4 linked regions of the Macaca mulatta genome follow. The protein of the gene in region 3 purifies or fractionates together with the protein of the main gene of each other region. This does not show direct contact. Links are inferred from orthologs where the notes say so. Each region holds a gene or a part of one and is shown on either strand. Other genes may lie near its edges.

The links.
Region 1: the proteins of THOC1 (region 3) and DDX39A purify together in Homo sapiens (affinity purification with mass spectrometry; 3 studies listed by BioGRID and IntAct, with this or other methods). This does not show direct contact. The link is inferred for Macaca mulatta from reciprocal best matches to the Homo sapiens genes THOC1 and DDX39A.
Region 2: the proteins of THOC1 (region 3) and NCBP3 purify together in Homo sapiens (co-immunoprecipitation; 4 studies listed by BioGRID and IntAct, with this or other methods). This does not show direct contact. The link is inferred for Macaca mulatta from reciprocal best matches to the Homo sapiens genes THOC1 and NCBP3.
Region 4: the proteins of THOC1 (region 3) and SF3B1 purify together in Homo sapiens (co-immunoprecipitation; 4 studies listed by BioGRID and IntAct, with this or other methods). This does not show direct contact. The link is inferred for Macaca mulatta from reciprocal best matches to the Homo sapiens genes THOC1 and SF3B1.

What each region holds. Positions count from the first base shown.
Region 1 is NC_133424.1:15,011,051-15,013,620, forward strand, and holds the end of DDX39A (ATP-dependent RNA helicase DDX39A), read right to left. Parts: intron 2,031-2,570; coding exon 1,912-2,030; intron 1,570-1,911; coding exon 1,438-1,569; intron 1,343-1,437; coding exon 1,233-1,342; intron 1,144-1,232; coding exon 999-1,143; intron 881-998; coding exon 733-880; intron 650-732; coding exon 633-649; 3' UTR 621-632; downstream 1-620. UniProt on the Homo sapiens protein: Helicase that plays an essential role in mRNA export and is involved in multiple steps in RNA metabolism including alternative splicing. Regulates nuclear mRNA export to the cytoplasm through association with ECD.
Region 2 is NC_133421.1:5,326,979-5,331,518, forward strand, and holds the start of NCBP3 (nuclear cap-binding protein subunit 3), read right to left. Parts: upstream 2,949-4,540; 5' UTR 2,941-2,948; coding exon 2,758-2,940; intron 2,276-2,757; exon of another isoform or gene 1,390-2,275; intron 474-1,389; exon of another isoform or gene 1-473. UniProt on the Homo sapiens protein: Associates with NCBP1/CBP80 to form an alternative cap-binding complex (CBC) which plays a key role in mRNA export. NCBP3 serves as adapter protein linking the capped RNAs (m7GpppG-capped RNA) to NCBP1/CBP80.
Region 3 is NC_133423.1:71,588,767-71,592,810, reverse strand, and holds part of THOC1 (THO complex subunit 1), read left to right. Parts: intron 1-1,650; coding exon 1,651-1,769; intron 1,770-2,218; coding exon 2,219-2,267; intron 2,268-2,677; coding exon 2,678-2,773; intron 2,774-4,044. UniProt on the Homo sapiens protein: Component of the THO subcomplex of the TREX complex which is thought to couple mRNA transcription, processing and nuclear export, and which specifically associates with spliced mRNA and not with unspliced pre-mRNA.
Region 4 is NC_133417.1:102,376,038-102,380,659, forward strand, and holds the start of SF3B1 (splicing factor 3B subunit 1), read right to left. Parts: upstream 3,226-4,622; 5' UTR 3,177-3,225; coding exon 3,149-3,176; intron 1-3,148. UniProt on the Homo sapiens protein: Component of the 17S U2 SnRNP complex of the spliceosome, a large ribonucleoprotein complex that removes introns from transcribed pre-mRNAs.

The sequences.
Region 1 (2,570 bases), on a different chromosome or scaffold from region 3:
GGTCCTACTGCTGGCTGCCTCTCTCCTCCACCTTGTGACCCAGGGCAAGTACTGGGGCTGGCCCAGGGCTGCAGCATGTTGCCTTGGCACCTGGGGCTAGTACTCAGGACAGACTGAGGGCTCGTCCCGGCCTGGACTTTTCCTCTCACGTCTGCTGCAGAACTGAAAAGACTAGGTGCTGCGGCTCAGCTTCCTTCTTAAGCGAAGACTGATGTCAGAGGCCCCCTGGCAGAGCCCCTTGGGGCCACTGCCTGAGGCTCACGGTACAGAGGCCTGCCCTGCCTGCCCAGGCAGGAGGTTCTCACTGTTGTAAAGGTTGTGGATGTTGTGTAATGTGTTTTTATCTGTTCAAACTTTTCAATGTTGACACTTAAAATTAAACACATGCATACAGAAGATGGCCTTGCCTGCTGGTGGTGATTCAGACGCCAGGCCCAGGGTGTCCGTCAAAGGCCGAGATGACTAAGAAACAGATGGTGTGGGAGCCAGGTTTCCGTAATAACAAGTTTATTCTCACACAATTTCTAGCTTCTCAACAGTGGCACCTGGAAAGGGGAGGTGAAGCTGCATGCGGGCGGCTCCAGGTGGGCAGCTCCGGGTGGGCGGCTCTGGACTGGTGGGGCACGTGGTGGTTACCGGCTCTGCTCAACTGTAAGACACAGGAAGCGGTGAACCAAAGGGCCGGGGTAGGAACCCTCTGCCTCAGCCCCCTGCCCTGCCCAAGGCACTTACTGTATGTGGATATGTCAATTTCCTCTGGAAGTTCTGCCACATTAACTTCAAACCGGTCCTGGACGTCATTGAGGATTTTGGCATCATTCTCGTCAGACACAAAAGTGATGGCTAGGCCTTTGGTGCCAAAGCGACCCGCCCGGGCCACCTGCAGGCAGACAGGATCAGGGTCAGGCCACAGATAACACCTCAGGACTTGAGGAAAAGCAGGGTTGGGGCCCCACCCCACCGCCAGGGGAAAGCGACATGCCCGTGAGGCCGCTCACCCGGTGCAAGTAAGTGTCCGAGTCCTCAGGCATGTCATAGTTAAAGACGATGTTGACTCGCTCGATGTCCATCCCCCGGCCAAACAGATTGGTGGCCACCAGGATCCGCCGCTGGAAATCCTTGAACTGCTGATAGCGTGACAGGCTGGGGTGCAGGAGAAACAAGTGGAGGCCGTCAGACACTGGGCTCCTGGGTGGCGCTCCCTGCAGCCTTGGCGGGTGGCTCGCACTCACCGCTCCTCCTGGGCCATGCCCCGGTGGATGGCGATGGCCGGGAAGTTCTGCTCCACGAGGAGCTGGGCCAGGGCCATGCAGCGCTGCACTGACTTGACGAAGATTATCACCTGAAGGAAGGAGTGGCGGTCAGGGACACACAGTCCGGCGGCCCAGCGACCTCCCGATGGTCCAGAGCCCCAGGACGGGCTGATGGAAGTGTCACCTGGTTAAACTCCAGCACGTCCAGGAGATCAAAGAGCTTGCGGTTCTTCTCACTGTCTTTGAGTTTGACGTAGTACTGCTGCAGGCCGTGCAGCGTGAGCTTGGTCTCGTCGTCCACAAACACCTCCATGGGCTGTGTGGGAAGGGAGGTGGGAGGGGCGGGCAGGGATCACCTCTGGGCATCTCGCCTGCCCAGAACCTTCCAGTGGGCGACTCCTTTGTGCGACGCTTCCCAGAGGGCCTCCTGCACCAGACCTCAGTAAACATCGCTCAAAACCTGGATGTAAGCTCTGGCCCGGCTCAGGTGTGGACCAAGCTTGACTCCCAGTTTGACAAGACCGAGGGGAGGAAAGGAGGCTCCGCCGGCTCCCAGCATCCCAGCATCCTCCGAGGCATGTGGGCTGTGCGGGTGTCCTGGGGCCCCAGGCTCCAGGCCCCTGGGGAAGGCCGAAGCTGCCACTCTCGCCTTACTCACATCCTGCATGAACTTCCTGCACACAGGCCGGATGTCCTTGCTCAGGGTGGCGCTGAACATCATGCACTGCTTCTCGTGTGGTGTCAGGCGGAAGATCTCCTGCACATCCCGCCGCATGTCTGGGTGGGGAGGGCAAGACATGCGTGGGCATGAGCGTCTGCCATGCAGGACCCCCACCCCAGACCAGACCCAGACCCCTCCCAACCTGTGCCAGGGAGCCAGTGGCACCGTGACGAGGGCAGAGTGAGCCGCGGGAGTGGCCAGTCCTGGTGCCTGAGGGGCTGGGGGGTGGCCAGCGAGCGCAGGCGCGGGAGGAGCTGCAATCCACTTACGCGCTGGCGCGGAGCAGCCGTGCCCGTGCGCCTCGAGACACGCTTCAGGGAGGGGAGCCTGAGGCAGAGACAGCCGCTGGGGTGAGAGCTGCAGCTGCCTCCCAGGACACAAGCCCATCTCCCACCGGCCCTGTCGAGGCTCCCTGAGGGCAGGTGGGGCCTAGAACCAACCCAACAGGTGGCAGAAGTCTCACACTCCTAGAGGTATGTGCGCGTGCCTTTACGTCCAGGAGGGACGGGGGCTTATTTGGGTCCCGTGGTCCCATTCGGCTCGGGCTCAGAAACAGCACGTCCCTCTGCCAGCAGCAGAGCTTTCCCTAAGATCAC
Region 2 (4,540 bases), on a different chromosome or scaffold from region 3:
TCACTGCAGCCTCGACTCCCCAGGCTCAAGCCATCCTCCCACCTCAGCTTCCCCAGTAGCTGGGCCCTCAGGAATATGCCACCACACCCAGCTCATTTTTTTTTTAATTTTTGTAGAGACAGGGTCTCCCTATGTTGCCCAGGCTGGTCTCCAACTCCTGGGCTAAAGCAGTCCTCCTGCCTCAATCTCCCAAAGTGTTAGGATTACATGCATGAGCCACCACCCAGAGTCTGGTTCTTTTTGTTTATCTGTTTGTGTTTTGAGATGGAGTCTTGCTCTATCACCTAGGCTGGAGGGCAGTGGTGCAAACTCGGCTCACTGCAACTGCTACCTCCCGGGTTCAAGTGATGCTCCTGCCTCAGCCTCCTGAGTAGCTGGGATTACAGGTGTGCGCCACCATGGCCAGCTAATTTTTGTATTTTTAGTAGAGACGAGGTTTCACCATGTTGGCCGGCTGGTCTCAAACTCCTGACCTCAGGTGATCTGTCTGTCTCAGCCTGCCAAAGTGCTGGGATTACAGGCATGAGCCACCGCACCTGGCCAGTCTGGTTCTTTTTGAAGAGTCATTCTTTTCAAAACCCTTCCCCACCCCTGACAACCTTTTATTAAGAAGCCCCATCCCAGTGATTCCATGGTATCAATCAACCACTCCAATAAGAAGAGCAGAGCCTGTCCAAAACCTGAAGTGATTCCATCAACTGAAAGTATCCACGTACAGAAAAATCTAAAGGCTTTTGTGGAAAATGTCAAAAGATGAAGCACAGTCACTTAGCTCCCCAACCTAGTCTGAACGAATTCCCCATGCCCAGCCACCAGGTGGAGCCCAACCCTCCACCTCAATGCAGAAGTCCAGCCTCACCTAGAATTCCTGAGGCAAATACAGCACAGTGCAATGCAAAGGGGATGGGATTTGGAAACCAAGCGAGGACGGAAGCCTCAGCTCTGACGGTCACTAATTACAGGACACTGTATAGTTTCCTTGACCTCTCTGGGTCCCAGTTTCCTGCGTGGTATCTACCTGCCTTCCTGACCTCTTTTACTGCCCTTCCATTAGCGCTACAGAACTTTGCAACGATCCTGGACCCACCCCAGACCCTCTGTGCTTGCTATTGCCCCGGCTGGGGGAACCCCTTTTCAGTCTTCACAAGGGTGGCTCCTTTTTGTCATTGAGAGTTTATATGGAGCATACACTCCAGCAGGGAGGTTGATCTTGATCAAGCACCTAGGGCTGTGTCTTGGTACATAGTGGGGGATGCAATAAATACATGTTGGCCAGGCACGGTGGCTCATGCCTGTAATCCCAGCACTCTGGGAGGCAGAGGCGGGAGGATCACCTGAGGTCAGGAGTTCGAGACCAGCCCGGCCAACATGGAGAAATCCTGTCTCTACTAAAAATACAAGATTAGCCGGACATGGTGGCACACCCCCGTAATTTCAGCTACTTGGGAGGCTGAGGCAGGAGAATCACTTGAACCCAGGAGGTGGAGGTTGTGGTAAACCGAGATCGCACCATTGGGCTCAGCTACTCAGGAGGCTGAGGCAGGAGAATCGCTTGAACCCGGGAGGCAGAGGTTGCGGTGAGCTGAGATTGCGCCATTGCGCTCCAGCCTGGGTAACAAGAGCGAAACTCCGTCTCAAAACAAAACAAAAACCATGTTGAACTGAATGACTGAAAGGATGATAACACCTACTTCACAACTGCAGTGATACTTATTTTGGTTTTGTTTTGTTTTTGAGATGGGGAGAGGCGAAAGGAGGGACCTCGAAGGGGTGTTGCTATATTACTGAGGCTGGTCTGGAACTTAGACTCCTGAACAGCTGGCACTAAAGGTGTGCATGGCCAGTATATTTAAGTGACACAATGTAGTGAATGGTAAATGCTAATATATTAGCTGTTGTTAATCATAATCAATAACGTTTGCCATCTCTAGCGATCATACCTTAACCTTTCTCCATAACTTCAGTCTAAATATGTTGACATGTGGTGAAAAGTAGTTCATATTAAGTTAGAAATTAAGAGGAGTCATCCAGGCCTCAAATCAGCTCTAAGAACTGGATCTACAGCCACCAAGTCACAAGCAAAACACCTCACCATCCCCAGCGCGGTAAATGAGGGATCAAGGGCGTCTATTGATCGTTTGCTAGTTTACTTTCATTAAGAGTGAGATGCTGGGGCCACGGTGTAGGTGCCAGTGGAGCTGCGGCGGGGGGGGGGGGGGGCGGGTGGCGCAAGATGACCCTGAAGTCACGACAGAAACAGTGAGTTTCTGCTGCTGACAAGTGCAGCCCTCCCAAGAGAAAGAGCGAGTGCCATGTTTCACAGATACAAATTCCTCCGGGGCAAGACCCACAGGAGAGACCTGGTTGCTGGCGCCACCCAACAGCTCCTTCTGGGCTGCTCCCGGTTCTGTTCCCGCCCAGGGCTCCCCCTTTATCTCAGCCCTCCAGACACTCCTCACTCACCCCTTTGCACAGCACGGCTCAGAGGGGGCAGCGGAGGGGGGTCCTCAACTCTCTCCCAGCTCTCCGCCACCCCCTCCAGCCCCCTCAACACCCATTTCCGGCGCACCGGCGTCCTTTCTCCCGCTCCGCGTCCCTCCTCCAGCCCGGAGCCCTCGTCCCCAGGACGCTGGCTCCCTTCTCTCCCGCTCCCCAGACTTCCCCGGCTGGGGCTCCAGCCACCGCCCCTTCCGGCCCCCTCCGGCGCTGGGCACTAGCCCCGCGACCTCCTCCTTGCCCCCCGACCCCCGCCCGTACCGGGATCAGTTCCTTGAGCGAGCGCCGCACGGGCACGATTTCCAGCTCGCCCTCCTCCACCTCCATGGGCTCCGGCTCGCCACGGTCAACACCCGACTCCGCCTCAGGGGACGGGAGCCCCAGGTCTGGCCCCGCCGGGGCCTCCGCCTTCACCGACACCCGCAGGCCCCGTACGGCCGCCATAGCTGCCTGCCGGCCGCACCACCGAGAGCCCGCCCCTTACGGCCGCCGGCTAGAGCGCCGCAGCCACTGGCCACAGAGGAGCCGCCGCAGCTACCTAGAGCGTCGCCGGCTTCGGCCAGAAGGCCGCCCTCAGCGCCGCCGCCCCCTGGTGGCGGGAGGAACCCGGGCGTGCTGCGCGGGCGGGACCTGGGGAGGAGAAGGCGGGACTGAGCGGGGACGGGGGCGGGGCCTGCGGGAGCGACGGAGCTTGGAGGAGACCGGGGTAGTCAAGGGTTACAATGTAGCTACGCCTTGAGGCTAAACCTGTACTAAAAGCCACCTTTACTGAGCGATCACCATGGGCCAGACACTTCCAAGCGCTCGAACCCTTAGAACAACTCTATGAAGTAGATCCCATTATGACCCCCATTTCATATATGAGGAAACTGAGGTATAGAAATTGATCCGAGGTGACGCCATTTAAGGGATAAAAGCTGGATCTAAGTCTTCCAGAGTTTACGATGAGCCTTGATATATCACCTCTGGGCAATCTGTAGGTTTATAACGTTACTTGCCTTGCCTGCCTTTGTCTCTTAAAAGTCTCCCCAAAATTGGCCCATGTTACATACACAAAATTTGAGACCTGCCCAAAGGCCAGAACTTGGACACTGATTTCCTGACTCCTGAGGGTGCCATCCACTGTAGACCTGTGAGTGTAGTTTCCTGCGGATACTTCTAGCCTAGTGGGGGAGGGGGGTTGTCTAGGCATCCCGAGGGTGTCACTGATCAGCTGTTAGGTTCTGAGTCCTGATTTTCTTTCTCTCTTTCTTTCTTTCTTTCTTCCTTTCTTCCTTTCTTTTTTCTTCCTTCCTTCCTTTCTTCTCTTTCTTTTCTTCATTTCTCTTTTTCTTCCTTCCTCTCTTTTCTTTCTTACTTTCTTTTCTTTCTTTCTTTCTTTTCTTTCTTTCTTTCCTTCTTTCTTTCTTTCTCTTTCTTTCTTATTTTTTGCAGAGACAGACTTTCACCATGTTAGCTAAGCTGATCTCGAACTCCTAACCTTAAGCCATCCACCCACCTCGGCCTCCCAAAGTCCTGGGATTACAGGCGTGAGCCGCTGCGCCTGGCCTGAGTCCTGATTTTGCGTCTTCCTCCCTGGGTAGCTTTGGACAGGTTTTTGGGTCTGTTTTCGCATCTGAGGAGGGCGTAGGTGAGACCCTGCAGTCTCTGAGGCCCTGCCAGCGCTAACCATGGAGGAGCAAATAATGATAAACTAAGGAAGACCATGGTCCGCATCGGACACACCTGGGTTTCGAGCTGGCTGGCCCTGCCCCATCCACCATGTGTGACCTTAGGCAAGCTGCTTAGCACTTTGGAGTCTCAGTTCCTTCATCAGTAAAATGGACCATTACCTACCTCCAAAGGAGGTTGTGAGGATTAAATGTGATAATTTATATGTAGATACAGGGTCTAACAGAAGGGATGGTTTTTCTTAATTTTGGGCTACATCATAGTTTTTCTTAAATTTGGGCTAAATCGTAGGATAAACACAAGACACAGCTCTTTAGAGGACTAGTTTTATTTGATGAATGGGATACAAAGTAGTTTTAAAAATCGGGTTGAG
Region 3 (4,044 bases):
GGTGTGGAAGCTGGGACACAGGTTGTGAAAGCTCTTGGGGGAATCACACTGTAACCCAGTGGTTCCCAGACTTGCTGGCTCATCAGAACCACCAGTGAATCTATTTTTAGATGAGATTCCCAAACCTTGCTTAGTTCTACTGACTCAGAATTTTGGTAGTAGAATCTAGAAAAAGTTCTCTAATTATTTAATGTGAGTTAACTTATTCCAGGCTGTACTGCAGCTAAGGGCAGAGAGTATGCTTCTCAAATCTCTTGGATGTGCAGGGTATATAATATTGAATCTAAGTATTGTTCGGGACTTTCGAGGTCACCTAGTCCCGTCTCATCTCTGGCCTAGACCGCTTCCCTGCTGTAACATCCCTGATGGGTGGTCATTCAGCCTCTGCTGAATCATGCTCATTAGTGGAGGTCACTGTTTGAGTCCTGTTAGACAAGTGTGGTTATTGGTGTGTTCCCTTGTATTGAGTTGAAATCTGCTGTTTTATTCCACCACTGCTTTTCGGCAATATCCCTCACATCACATTCCAGATATGATCTTACTAGTGCAGAGTACAGCTGGAAAGATTTCTTCCTTTTTCTAGATATAGTGTATTAATGCACTGTTTTGGACTTAGATCACCCTAGATATTTTTCCCCATATACCATGCCTAAGTAACTACTTTTCTTAAACACTTATGAGTGTTAGTAAGTACCCATTGCCTTAAAATAGAAGGAAGGATGAGTAGGGATATAAAAGTATTTCTAGGTAGTCTGAATAGACTAAATAGACCTTTTCTTAAGAATATCTTAATTTTGTTGTTCTTTAAACAGTAACTTTCTACTTTTCCATTCTTTCCCCTGAAACAATACTGTTATTTTAAATGTTAAATCATAGTTAATATCAAACCTTGTTATTTTTTGAAGATAATCTTTTCAAATCACAAAGACAATTTAGCAACACTACAAAACATTTGGAAATGAGAAAAAGGGAAAACAGTACTCATAATTCCTCTACTTTTAAAAACCATTCATCTGGTATAATGGTTTTAGTTTCTATAGTCTTTTAAGAATTTTTTTATTGTCATAATCATATGTACATACAATTTTGAATCCTGCCTTTTTCACTTAGCATTATATCCTAAGCATTTTTCCAAGTTATTATAGTCGTTATAACCATCGTTTTTAATTGGCTGCATTATATTCTTTTGAATAGCTTAGTGGTGAAGAAAACAGACTGTGGAGCCAGACTGCCTGGGTTCGTATCCCAGCTCTGCCACTTACTGGCTCTGTGATCTTGGGCAAGTTATTTAACCTCTCTGTGTCTCAATTTTCCCATTCTATAAAATGCAAATAATGATATGCTCTACTTCATAGGGTTATAAGGATTAAATGTGTTAGTATATGTAAAGTACTTAGTGTGCCTGACATATAGTAAATGCTCTAGATCTTGTCAAGAATTATTGTCATCATTACTGAGTGCACATATCAAAAATTACTTAAATATGTCCTGTTTGGGGACTTGTAGGCTGCTTCCACTTCTTGTCCTTTTAAAACTTTGTTATGAGTAACAAAGTGTACCTTTTAAGATATTCTTCAGTATTATTTTTCATAGGCTGTTTTACTCTAATGTTTTTTTAAACTTTTAAACTGGCTTGTGCTCCACTTGAAGGTATTTGTACCGCATCTACACCTTTTGTATTGTTGGGAGATGTTTTGGATTGTCTTCCTTTGGATCAGTGTGACACAATATTCACTTTTGTGGAAAAAAATGTTGCTACTTGGAAATCAGTAAGTGCCTTAGTTTCTTTTCCTGCTAACTTTGTATTTCTGTAGATTCAGAGTTCTGAGGGTAGATTTAAAAAAAGAAATTATTTGTAGTATTGCTGATCGCCAACAAGTTTGTGCCTATGAAAAAATTATATACTGCTCTCTTGGGAGAGCCAAGTAAAAACCATGTGTGGAGAAAAACTTGAAATACAAAATTTGATTTAATTTGAGTAATAAAAACTAACTTGAAAATTCACACTTTCACATGTTAAAAACAGTATCATGTTTTCTTATCTTATATCTGAAAATATTTTCATTTCATTGAAAATGTTATTTACTTTAAAAAAGTGTAAGTGGCATAGTAGATTCTCAGTGCATGTTAGTGTTCTTTAATATTTTACTTCCTGCAACTTATTGAAGAATGTGTAACAAGTTCAGAAGAAGAGTGATAATTTCCATCTTAATTTCAGAATACATTCTATTCTGCTGGGAAAAATTACTTACTACGTATGTGCAATGGTAAGTAATTGAGTGATTAAATGATAGCTTTTTAAAATGTAAATATGCCCAGAAAAACATGTGGTTGAATTAAATACCAGTGATAACATTTTAAAAATAGATTAGGTATTTGTATTTTTAACTAACAATCGGATTTATTAGAACTCATTCACTTTAAGCTGTTTTTGTTCTGGGCATAAACTTAATGAAAGTCAGAAACATGTAGTAAAGTTTGTCTTTTTCATGTCATGTTGAACTTGTTTTGTTCCTAATTTCTAGTACTTTTTTGTGGCAGTGGTTTCTGCCCCCATTTTAAGAACTACTGCTTTAGGAAAATACTCTCGACAAACTGGTTTAGAAACTTTTAGGTATGGTTGTAATAAACATAGAATTATCTTTTCTGTGTAACGTTCATTTTCATATATCATTAGATCTCCTAAGAAGATTGTCTAAATCCCAGAATACAGTCTTCTGTGGACGGATTCAGCTCTTTTTGGCCAGGCTTTTCCCACTGTCTGAGAAATCAGGTAAGCTTTTATGCGTTAAATGAGTTTTCTGCAGGAAAATCTTTTCCAGTTTTTAATAGATTAAAATCTGTCATGATAATGAGAAAAATGGTTCTAAAAAGTTGAAAGACATCATAGAAATTGTCACTTTATTTTCTTTTACTTATAAATAGTTATAGCAGTCCTAGTATATAATACAGGTAATCTTGAAACAAAGTCATGGATTCTTTTAAGTTCAAAGCTTATTAACGTACAGTTGAATCATACTGAAACATGTAGATATAAACCGTCACATCTATATTTCGTAATGTATGCCTATTTTTGTGTTTCCATTTTCTCTCTCAGTCACGACTACTTAGCTATATAGACTTCCTTTCATTTCTCTTTTTTAACAGATTTTTATTGTGAAATATAATGCTTATATAGAAAAGTACATAAAGCAAATAATAATGAAACAAATACTGTATAACCACTCTGTAGCTCCTGAAATGGGACATTGCTTATTCTCCAGAGCCTTCCCCCTCCCCAGTCGGTTCAGATATGCGAGATTTTAATATCTCATTGCTTCAGTTCTCTTTTTCTTAATGCTGGGCTAATATACCACCTATTTTATATGTTGTGAGGATTAAATGAATTAAAACACGTGAAGAGCTTACAGTAGTGCCTGAGTATGGTTAGTATACACATATGTCTTTCCTAGCTCTGGTCTCTGAGAGGGCCGCAGAAGTAGTGATACTCCAGTAGCAATGAGCACATCTTCTCAAATGTAGATCATGAGGTCAGGAGATCGAGACCATCCTGGCTAACCCGGTGAAACCCCGTCTCTACTAAAAAATACAAAAAACTAGCCAGGCGAGGTGGCGGGCGCCTGTAGTCCCAGCTACTTGGGAGGCTGAGGCAGGAGAATGGCGTAAACCCGGGAGGCGGAGCTTGCAGTGAGCTGAGATCCGGCCACTGCACTCCAGCCTGGGCGACAGAGCGAGACTCCGTCTCAGGAAAGAAAGAAAAAAAAATCACTATGGTAGCTATAGCCTCATGAAATGTATTTCTTAGATAACAGGACTTGAAAGTTGAAATAACCCTTTGATTCATTGGCTACAAAATGGATGATGTATTAGCAGGCATGAAAACAACATTAATTTCCTTGTGCATCTCCATCAAAGCTCTTGGGTGACCAGGTGCATTGTGAATAAGCAATAACATTGTGAAAGGAGATCTTTTTTTTTCTGAGCAGTAAGTCTCAACAGTGGCCTTAAAATGTTCAGTAAACCATGCTATAAACAGATGTGCTG
Region 4 (4,622 bases), on a different chromosome or scaffold from region 3:
AGCCTGTAATCCCAGCACTTTGGGAGGCTGAGATGGGCGGATCATGAGGTCAGGAGATCGAGACCATCCTGGCAAACACGGTGAAACCCCGTCTCTACTAAAAAGTACAAAAAAACTAGCCGGGCGAGGTGGCGGGCGCCTGTAGTCCCAGCTACTCGGGAGGCTGAGGCAGGAAAATGGCGTAAACCTGGGAGGCAGAGCTTGCAGTGAGCTGAGATCCGGTCACTGCACTCCAGCCTGGGTGACAGAGCGAGACTCTGTCTCAAAAAAAAAAAAAATAAAATAAAATAAAAATAAAAATAAACCCAGGAAAAAAAAATACATTAGCAAGATACACAATAACAAAACTATAACTATTCCAGCCACTCATCAAGCAAAGAATTAGGGAAAAAACTTTTTCAGCTTGGTGATGTACCAAAAAATCTAATTCAAAGGATTAGTGGCAAAACAAGCTGATACACAGGATTTTTGATTAACCCATTTTTCCCCTTACAAAACAGAGAAGAATATGTGTTCCCTATTTGTTTGCCAAAGTCAGCAGTATCTGAAGAACTGCTGGATGGCAAGATTATGCATATTCATAACCATACACCTGACACAATTTAATATGCGGAAAGATCTAAAAGATTTTATCTGATTTGAGTAAGTCCAGCTCTTTTTATATTTCAATCCTGGAAAGCATAAGCCACATTGGCCAGGGTAAAATATAATCAGATTGGTTAAAGAGGATGTGAGGCCTGATCCTAATAGAAATGTTTGAAAGGGTTCAGGCATTGTGGCTCATGCCAGCAATCCCAGCACTTTGGGAGGCCGAGGTGGGAGGATCACTTGTGGTCAAGAGTTTGAGACCAGCCTGGCCAACATGGCGAAACCCTGTCTCTAAAACTACAAAAATCAGTCAGGTGTGGTGGCGCATGCCTGTGATCCCAGTACTCTGGAGGCTGAAGCAGGAGAATAGCTTGAACCTAAAAGGTGGAGGTTGCTGTGAGCTGAGATTGCACCACTGCACTTCAGCCTGGGCAACAGAGCAAGACTCTATCTCAAAAAAAATAAATAAATAAAATAAATGTTTGGAAAGAATATGACAGCAAAATAAATAAATAGTTACCAGTTTATCTCAATCTTGGAGCTAAGTAGAAGAGAAAATCTTAACACAATAGACTACTCTAAGTAATATAACATTTATACTGAGTGCTATGGCAGCACTGCCCCTAAAAGCATTAATTCTGCTTCAGTTTATCAAAAATGGCTTAACAAGAGAAAACAGTGATGGACCATGAATAATTAGAGTTCCACCAAGAAAATGTCATTAGGAAGGAAGCAAGAAGCTATGTCAGTATTATGTGTATTTCTACTAAACATTTATTATCCCCTGACTTATAACCCATAGGGATGGGCACAGACAGTGTTCAAGTATTGAATGTTCTGCTATTTTCTTATGGCATCACTTAATTCACATTGATAGAATAATCTCAAAAATAACAAGTTTGGACAATGAATAGCAATAGACCAAAGCTTTTAGCTGGGTTTCTAAAAAATTCAGGAAAACTGATCAAAACTTTGATTTTCCTGTTTGAGAGCATCTTATGCTACCAATAAATATCAAAGCTATACTATCAATATCCCCAAATGAATAACCTCCTGAATGAACAAAAACAGCACATCTTTATATTTTCTACTTATTTTGCAAAAGGTTATATTTGAGATAGTCTAAAGAAAAATAATAAGGCCTAAGAACACTAAGAGAGCATTTAAATCCTAAATACCTAAAATAATACTGGTATTAAAGCCATTGCCAATTCATTAGCATGTCTGATAAACAGCAGAAAGCTGGACTTCAGGTCCTCCGGGTGACCCAAAAATTCAAAGCCATTCATATTCTGGTCCTAAACCAACCTTTACAGATTCATTTATTTCTTCTCTCCTTGCACCCACTGTTCCTGCCACAGTGGACTACTACTCAAACACACCTTTCACGATTCAATACCTTGTTACAAGATGTTCTCATGCTCAGATGTCCTTCCCGATTTAAAACTGATCCTTTTAAAACAGGGACATGTAACCTCTTCAGTGAAATAACCCTAAGCATAATAATTCCGTTATCCAGGTTCCCAGAACATGTTGTTTGTTCTTCTACTTAAGCATGCATTTGGCCTCATGAGAGAATGAGGACATACACATCTGTTTCCCCTACCTGACTGTAAAATTTTGGATGGCCTCAGTCTGTTACCTTTCACAGACTAATGCTGAGCCAAATACCCAGAAAGAACATATGAAACAAAAGTGAATTAGAAGTCTCGTTCTCAGTGAAAATCTCGGATTCCAAGTCAGAAATCAAAGAATGCAGTTCCAACTTCCCATGCCTCGTCTTTTCTGAAAAGTGATCCCGTTTCCTGTCATCTCTGGATATTTCCTAATGAACTCCAGTCTATTCCCAACGTTTTCCTAATTTGCACACTCTGCATTCCATAAAACGATCAACTAGTTTGAAAGCTTCGGCCGTTAATGAAAGTAATTTATCTTTTCCTTTTCCATCTGGCTCTTCCAATAACCAGTCTCCAAAGAAAAAGATCAATATTATACTAAAAGTGACTAAGGGAGGGAAAACTACTACCAGATTTTATCCCCAAATCGTTTCGTGCAAGAAAAATAAGCAAGTAACACTGACGCTTGAACACACACGGGGGCAGGAGTAATGGAATCTCGGTTTAACTAAATTCGATTCAGTCCTGCCGGAAAAGCGGATGCCGTATTTCAGTGCTTTTCTGACCCTCTTCTGCATAAACTATGCGGACGACACTGTCGACAGGCGAGTGAGACTTTCTCCCCACGCCCGCTTCCCAGATCCCTTGCCCACGAATCCTACTGAGGAAGCCGCTTAAACAAGGCCCTCTGGTCAGAGAAGAGAAGCTACTCTGAAGTAGCAGGTCCCAAACACCGAACAAAGCGCCTGTCGGGGGTGTAAGAGGAGGACGCCATTACGCGGGGCAGTGGCCTGCGCCGCTGGCGCGGAGGAGACGACCCTTGGCCCCGAAACGCGGGCTCGGCTCCCATGAAAGAAACCATAGGAAAAGGCAGAATCCTAGGAAGAAAGGCTCTTAGTAAGCTAGCAACCAAGAAAACACGTAAGCAGGGAAAGACCGCTTACCTTCGTGAGTCTTGGCGATCTTCGCCATTTTGTCCACTCGAACACACTGACGGAACTGGCGCTCCCAAGAACTTCCGCTCGTCGCCGCCGCCACGGAGAAAAAAATAGCTGGGGGCTGCACTCTGCGCGTGCGCCAAACAGAAGCGCGCTCCGTCGGGTGACACGTGACACAGCTGCCACCTAGAGGGAACCGCGAGGTGCATTGTGGGTGGGGGAGGAGTCACGGTTGGGACCTGAAGCCGCCTGCGTGGTGACCCAGGAAATCCTCGGGCTAAGCCGTAAGGTCCTTAAGTGAGTAACTTTGCCCTGGAGGAAAGTGGGTTCTACGAGGGGAGTTAAGAACAGACACTGAGTCCCAGCTACTCTAGAGGCTGAGGTGGGAGCATCGCTTGAGCCCAGGAGTTCAAGGCTGCCGTGAGCCGTAATCGTGTCACGCCACTATACTCCAACCTCCAGCCCGGGCGAAAGAGCAAGACCCCGAGACCCCTCCCATAAAAAAAATGAACACTGTACGAAACACTGCGGTTTCAGAGCTGGAAGAGACCTCAGACGTTCAATCCCTTTCCCACAATTCACCAGAAGAACTCGAGGAAAACTTCACCTTGCAGCTGTCTCAGTCTTTACAGTGCTTAGTTACAAAGACAGTCTTAACAGTCTCATCTCTCGCCCTGTAATTCAAGGTCATTTTTCATTATTTCTGTTTAATAATTGCAAATAATTTGGGTAAGAATTTCGTTGAGCCTCACAAATCGTTATTGAGTTGCACAGTGAGAATCTTACCACCCTTTTAAAGCCTTTTAACTTTATGGGTTCTTAGAAAACCACTCATCGTCATTATTAACATTCATTAAATGTTTCTCTTAAATCGTAGACGGTATTCCTAAATCAGGAATTTTAATAGATCAGAATGCATTCTGTTTTCCTAGACATCAATTAAAATATCATAACCTTGTACCGTCACACTGATCTTGGACTTCGACAATGAAAAAGAAAGGCTCAGAAAGATGGGTCCCGGAAGCAGCCCAGGAAAACAGGTAGTTATCAAGGTTAGAGCCATCACAAAGAAAGGAGTACCTCGCCATGTGATAAACCTACAACCCAAATACTAACCATACCATGGGTCATTATGGTCGTTTGAAGGGAGGAAAATGGTATGGGTGTATTCCTCTTGCAGAAAGACCCCATGTCTACTTTGGGTACAGTGAGGAGCCATTTTCCTGAGGCTAGGGGTAGGTGGGAGATATATGGACAATGGCGCTGGACTGAGAGCTTAAGATAACCTGTCCCTGGTGACTCCTGACCTGCAGCCTTGCTCCCTCTTTCCCTCTCACAGACTCCCTTCTTTGGATCAGGTGACACAAAGGATTTTTTTTCTGTTTTTTTGACACAGAGTCTTGGTTTGTTGCCCAAGCTGGAGGGCAGTGGTTTGATCACAGCTCAACTTAACTTCGACCTTAAGGTTCAAGAGACTCTC